Sus scrofa: one gene and its partner. The protein of the gene in region 1 purifies or fractionates together with the protein of each later gene. This does not show direct contact. Links are inferred from orthologs where the notes say so. Each region holds a gene or a part of one and is shown on either strand. Other genes may lie near its edges. The genes, in order: HERC5 and ISG15.

Region 1 (3,815 bases):
GCGTAGGCCGGTGGCTACAGCTCCAATTCAACCCCTAGCCTGGGAACCCCCATATGCCACGGGAGCGGCCCAAGAAATAGCAAACAACAACAACAAAAAGACAAAAAAAAAAAAAAAAAGATGTGGCTTAAACAGCAGATGTTCTGGAGGCAGAAGCCCAGTTCACAGTTCTAGCAGATTCGGTGTCTAGTGGGGGCTGGTCTTGTTAGAGGTGGAGACGCCAAGCGAGCTCTCTGCGGTCCCTTGCGGTCCCTTTCCAAAGGGCGTTGCCCCCAGTCACGGAGCTCCGAGGTCCCGAGCTCATCTCGTCCCCCTGCAGGGGGGGTTAGTTAGGTCTTCGACCTGGCATTTTCCGGGGAGGAGACACAGACGTGGGAGGTGAGGGAGTGTAAGCGTTGCTGCCCAAGAGGGACGTGCTTGTCGTTGCTGGGACTGCGGCGTGAGATCTCGGTGTGGCAGGAGGGACTTTCGAGACGGTGTCGTCTGGGAGGCGGACAGGGTGCGGGGGGCTGGCTGCTGCCTTTTAAACCCACTAAGACGGCCTTTGCTCTCCTCACGTCCAGGTGGTGAGCTTTTTGCGTGGGGAGAGAACCTGCACGGCCAGCTGGGCGTCGGAAGGGGGATCGCCTCGACCCCCACACCCCAGATGGTGGAGCATCTCTATGGGGTCCCCTTGGCTCAGGTCTCTGCCGGCGGAGCCCACAGCGTGGCCTTGTCCATGTCCGGAAACGTTTACTCCTGGGGAGGAAATGATTTTGGACAGCTGGGCCTGGGCCACACTGACGGTACGGACGCGCGCTTTCCTCCTCGTGTCGTTGCCACGTGTGTCTGTGACTTGAACCCAGGCCTCCCTGTCAAAAATGGCTCACAGCCCCGCTTTGACTCGCACTGTTCTCGGGCTTCAGGGCACACTTGGGCTAAAGGACCTGCCCCGTGTGGCGGTCAGGCTGTCACTGAGACAGGTGTCAGAGCCGAGTGGGAAAAAAAGGGGACACAGCCCTCACCTGGGGACCTCGGCACCCCTGGGCTGTGATTCCCACTTTGGGGGTAACTCGCTGCCCGGCCTCCCCGGGTCGCTTCCCTTTTCTCCAGGTCTTACTTGCTTTCTGGGAAGTGACGCGTTTGGGTGAAATGACTTTCCAGGTCCCCGTGCACTGACCTGTCTATTCATACTTAGGACTGTCGTGTGACAGAAGGCTACTCACATTCTGTGTAGGGAGTCCCCTAGTCTCATCTCACTCGATAAGGTATACTGACATCTGTACACTCGCTCAGGTAACACACCCTATTGAGCTCCTGCTGCAAAGCAGGCGGCAGTATTTCTGATGACCCCAAGCCCCTTGTTAGAGATGGCAGGTGGGGCAAACTCCACGGCTTCATCAGCTGTGATAATATTACACGCCCCCCCACCCCGGGCTGGGGCTCAGACCACAGGCCCAGGGCTCCCTCGTCAGGAGAGCACATCAGTCAGTGCTGGAAAAATACTCGGAGGAGAAAAAGGAATCGGGCCATTTAAACTCACTTTAGCTGAACTCTAAGCACTTGGGCAAGAAAATAATCATGAACTCGGGAAGCGGGGGCGTGAGGCCAGGACACCGTGGTGGAGAATTGGAAAGAAAGAACGTGTCCATTAGGAGGGCCCTTCTGGGCGGGCACTGGAGTTAGCAGATGGGCTGCAATTGAAGCTAATCCAGCCGGGCTAAAAAGAGACCACCGGGCTCGGGGGAGAGGCTTGACATCTCCACCTCCATGTTGAGTCTGGCGTGGGCTGATGGACAGCTCCTGTTGTCCACGTCCTGGGAGCGCCTGTGCTGGGCTTCGCCGAAGTGGTTTGGGTATTTCCTCTGGAGCTCCAGGTGGGATTCTGCCTCGCCTTCTGGGCCCTTGAACTCTTCTCTCCCTGGCGTAGATGCAGATTTTCCTTCCCGTATCGAAGCACTGGACGGTCAGCACGTTGAATTTCTCGCTTGCGGAGCCTCTCACACGGCCCTGCTCACAAAGGTGCGTGCGCCTTTGTCTCTCCCACGGCAGCACCTGAAGACCTGCCCCCGTCACGGTGGGAAAGCACTCGAATGTGGAGGTGGGGACACTTCCGGGGGGGAAGGTCAGCGCTTCCCACGTGCGGGATGGTCCTGCTAACGGCGGGGCTTTGCTTTGACGGTGGTTTTTATTAATTACCCACTGATGCGTGGGTATCCGGGGATATTCTGTATTGTATTTCTCTGGCATCTGATACGAAGTTCTCTTGCTCTAGGGTGGGCTGGTGTTGACTTTTGGTGATGGAAGATGTGGGCAGCTCGGACACAATTCAACACAGAATGAGTTAAGACCCCGTTTGGTGACTGAGCTTGTTGGGAAGAGAGTGACCCAGATGGCGTGTGGAAGGTAGGTTGTAAAGTGACAGCGCACGTTGATAAAATAGATACCGTGAATTTAGAGAGCTAGCTGAATAAAATTTCCGTCTGTTTCTTAGATTGAGATGAAATTTCAAATACTTTCAGATGGGTGCAGATGCTTAATTTACATTATTAAATAATCATAATAAATCTGTATTTTGGTATCCATATTTGCTTTCATTAATTTTTTTTATTTTTTTTTAATTTAAAAAAATTTTTTTTTATTTTTTTTGTCTTTTGTCTTTTTGTTGTTGTTGTTGTTTCTATTTCTTGGGCCGCTCCCTCGGCATATGGAGGTTCCCAGGCTAGGGGTCCAATCGGAGCTGTAGCCACTGGCCTTCGCCAGAGCCACAGCAACGCGGGATCCGAGCCGCGTCTGCAACCTACACCACAGCTCACGGCAACGCCGGATAGTTAACCCACCGAGCAAGGGCAGGGACCGAACCCGCAACCTCATGGTTCCTAGTCGGATTCGTTAACCACTGCGCCACGACGGGAACTCCCATTAATTTTTTTTAAATGAGCAGGTACATTCACTTTTTTTTTCTTTTCTTTTTTGCTTTTTAGGGCTCTATCCGCAGCATATGGAGGGTCCCAGGCTTGGGGTCCAATTGGAGCTGTAGCCGCCAGCCTACACCGCAGCCACAGCAACGCAGGATCCGAACCGCATCTGCGACCTACACCACAGCTCACGGCAATCCCGGATCCCTTAACCCGCTGAGCGAGGCCAGGGATCGAACCTGCATCTTCATGGTTCCTAGTCAGATGCGTTTCCTCTGCGCCACCATGGGTACACCTGTATTCACTTTCTGTTGCTCCCGTAGTGGAAAACCTTTGTAACTGTTCGAATGTGCTCTCATCTTTAAGAAAAATACCTTATCATATATTGGGGGAAAAGTAAACAAACATGAGTTAGAAGGGGTTATTCACTGATATAATCATCCTTTCTCACAAACTTCTCAGGGGTCAGCATACTTCGTTGCCAGTAAGTCTTTCAGAGTGACCACCCTGTAAGACAGTCTTTGCTGATTGGTATAGAATATTCTGAGAAATTTGATTTCTACAGATTTTTCCATCAAAAGTAAAGTAACTCAAACTCCTTGATTTACTATACTGTTTTCTTTCTTTTTTTTTTTTTTTTTTTTTGTCTGTTGTTGTTGTTGTTGTTGTTGCCATTTCTTGGGCCGCTCCCGCGGCATATGGAGGTTCCCAGGCTAGGGGTTGAATCGGAGCTGGAGCCACCGGCCTTCGCCAGAGCCACAGCAACGCGGGATCCGAGCCGCGTCTGCGACCTACACCACAGCTCACGGCAACGCCGGATCGTTAACCCACTGAGCAAGGCCAGGGATTGAACCCGCAACCTCATGGTTCCTAGTCGGATTCGTTAACCACTGCGCCACGACGGGAACTCCCTGTTTT
Region 2 (3,276 bases), on another chromosome or scaffold:
AGCATATTTACAGTGTGGCACAGCCGTCACTTGATGCAGTTCTGAAACATTTCACCATCCCAAAGGAGACCTGTGTCCTTCGCTGCCACTCTTCCCCCCTCCCCCAGCCCCTGGCTACCACCGGACAACTTTGAGTCTCCATGGACTGGCCGCGTGTGGCCATTCCACAGAGTCACACAATATGTGACCTTCTGTGTCTATCTTCTTTCACTGAGCACCATATTTTCAAGGTTCCCTCACAGTGTAGCCTGTGGCAGTGCTTCACTCGTTTTTATGGCTGAAGAGTGTTCCACCCTAAGGATGGGCCATACTTTGTTTTTGTTTTTTTGGTTTTTTTTTTTTTTTGTCTTTTTGCCATTTCTCTGGCCGCTCTCGCGGCACATGGAGGTTCCCAGGCTAGTCGACCGGCCTAGGCCAGAGCCACAGCAACACAGGATCCGAGCCACGTTTGCAACCTACACCACAGCTCACAGCAACGCTGGATCGTTAACCCACTGAGCAAGGGCAGGGACCGAACCCGCAACCTCATGGTTCCTAGTCGGATTCGTTAACCACTGCACCACGACGGGAACTCCAGGATGGGCCATACTTTGGTGAGGCCTCCACCTGCTGATGGATTTGGTTCCTCCCCCCACCCCATTTCTATGACTCCTCTACTGTGAACGGAGTTGCTGTTAACATTTCTGTGCAAGCATTTGTTTGAACACCTGTCTTCGGGTCTCTAGGGCCTGTGCCCAGAAATGCAATTGCTGAATCACATGAAAATTCTGTTTAACATTTTGAGGATTGACTAGACTGTTTTCCACAGTGGCTGCACCACTTCTCATTCCCATCAGCAATGTATGAGGATTCCAATGTCTCCACACCTTCACCAGCACTTGTTACTGTTCTCTTTTTAATCGTTGTTATTATTATTGTCATGCTAGTGGGTGTGACATGGTATCTCGCTGTGGTTTTGATGTGCATTTCCTTGATGGCCAGTGATGTTGAGCATCTTTTCATGTGGTTGTTGGCCATTTACGTATTTTCTATTTTAAACTGTCTGTGAAGTCTTTTGCCCAACTTTTAAATGAGTTGTTTATCTTTTTGTTGTTGAGTTGTAAACGTTCCTTATGTATTATGGATACTAGGCCCTTAACTGACACATGACTTGCAAATATTTTCTCCCATTTTGTAGATAGTTTTTTTACCTTGCCAATAGTATTCGTGAGTTCATTTTCATGGAAAATAAAAGACACATCTCTTTCATTTAAAAAATCTGAATAAAAAACCTGAATAAATATTGTCATAAACCAATGGTTGTTATCTCTGGCTTGGTTGGACTGTCACTATGTTTTGCTATTTCTGAATTAACCCCGGCAATGATTTCCAAGGTTCCTAATTTTGCAAACTGGTAAATGGAAAGTGAAAGTTGCCAATTGTTAGCTCTCGGTATTATGATGCTATTTGTGCATCGTGAAAAGGATGTGAGGCACTGGGCGTGCCGGGGGTTTCTGAACACGTACCTCTGGAGGCGGGGATGCTGTCGTGTGCCTGGCTGGCAGCTGGAGAGACTCTGTACCCCCTTCCTCAATGTCCTGTCATTGCTATTTGTTTTTTCCTGCCATGCACTCCGGAGCCTGCCTTGGGAAAAGGAAACCGAAACTGAAGCCGATTTCGATTTCGGCTCCCGCGGTGGTTGGCTCCTGGACTCCGCCCTCTGACGCGGCTGCTCAGGCTTTTTAAAGGGCTGAGCCGCCACGGCTGAAGAGCAGCGGCGAGCTGAGCGGCAGCGACGCAGAGCGCACAGAGGCAGCGAAGCAGAGCTCACAGAGGACCTGTCGCCAAAGCCCACGGCCATGGTGAGGGGGGTTTGACAGGTGGGGCAGGTGGCCTCTCCCAGGGGCAGAACACCTATGTGTACCAGGCAGACAGAGCTGCTCAGGGCCCGCCAGGTTCCTAAGCATGAGGGGAGGGATGGGGCTCCTCCTGACGTCAGGGTCTGTGTCCTCAGAGGGCTGAGATCCCTTGGGGTCGGCACAGGGAGGCATCTTAGCTGGTGAAGGGAGGTGACATGATGGTTGTGGGTGGTGGCCATTCTAGAAATGCCCCCTTGCCCTCTCCAGTGCCCGGGGTCCCCCTCCTGGAGGGTGGGGAGGGTAGGGAGGAGGGAGCAGCACTCCTGGGCTCTAGGAGCTTTTGCCCCACTATGTGGTGGCCCTGGGACTGGTGACAGGGTCTCTGAGCCTGTGTGACGCCCACAGGGTAGGGAACTGAAGGTGAAGATGCTGGGAGGCAAGGAGATCCTGGTGCCCTTGAGGGACTGCATGATGGCATCGGACCTGAAGCAGCAGATCGCCCGGGAGATCGGTGTGCCCGCCTTCCAGCAGCGTCTGGCTCACCCAGCCGGCAATGTGCTTCAGGATGGGGTGCCCCTGGTCAACCAGGGCCTGGGCCCAGGCAGCACAGTCCTGTTGATGGTGCAAAGCTTCAGAGACCCACTGAGCATCCTGGTGAGGAACGACAAGGGTCGCAGCAACGCCTATGAGGTCTGGCTGACGCAGACAGTGGCTGAGCTCAAGCAGCAGGTGTGTCAGCAGGAGGGCGTGCAAGCTGACCAGTTCTGGCTGACTTTCGAGGGGAAGCCCATGGAGGATGAGCACCAGCTGGGGGAGTATGACCTCAAGCCTATGTGCACCGTGTATATGAATCTGCGCCTGCGGGGGGGCGGGACAGGGCCAGGGGAGCACCTCACCGAGTGCTAGTAATAAAGCTGTGGCAAAATTGAGTGTAACAAAGCGTCCATTCTTCTCTGGCCAGCACCATCTCGGTGTCAGTCCTCCATTCTGCACCCATTTTGGTGAGACAGGAGGTGAGATGGAGGAGGGAGTGGGATGAGGGGACCCAGAGGTTGCTGGGTGGTCACCAGACTAGAGTTGCCAAGTTAAGGGACAAGCCTTGTGGGATCAAAATGGTGCCCCACACACACCAGAGAAATCGAAGATGTGTCCCCACATCTTTGGGAAATTACCTTCTAGAGAAATAAAAAGAGGCACAGCCGCTAGAGCCCATCCTTGTCTTCCTGCTGTGCCGTGGTCAGCTCTGCAGCCCCACATCTGGGTCAGCAGATAGCACAGGGAGGAGAAGGCCTGGCCAGGTGAGTGCCCCTGGAAGCAGTGGGGGCATGAGCCCCTGTGGCCTGTCTGGGTGAGCTGTGAGGGAAGCCAGCCTCCCCCGTGAGCCCCACAGGAGCCAGGCTGAGTCAGCCCTGGACATGGGGGAGGCAGGAGCACAGGA

What was found.
Region 2: the proteins of HERC5 (region 1) and ISG15 purify together in Homo sapiens (affinity purification with western blotting; 3 studies listed by BioGRID, with this or other methods). This does not show direct contact. The link is inferred for Sus scrofa from reciprocal best matches to the Homo sapiens genes HERC5 and ISG15.

What each region holds. Positions count from the first base shown.
Region 1 is NC_010450.4:130,580,923-130,584,737, reverse strand, and holds part of HERC5 (E3 ISG15--protein ligase HERC5), read left to right. Parts: intron 1-563; coding exon 564-785; intron 786-1,909; coding exon 1,910-2,001; intron 2,002-2,254; coding exon 2,255-2,385; intron 2,386-3,815.
Region 2 is NC_010448.4:63,361,439-63,364,714, forward strand, and holds ISG15 (ubiquitin-like protein ISG15), read left to right. Parts: upstream 1-1,762; 5' UTR 1,763-1,838; coding exon 1,839-1,841; intron 1,842-2,243; coding exon 2,244-2,744; 3' UTR 2,745-2,773; downstream 2,774-3,276.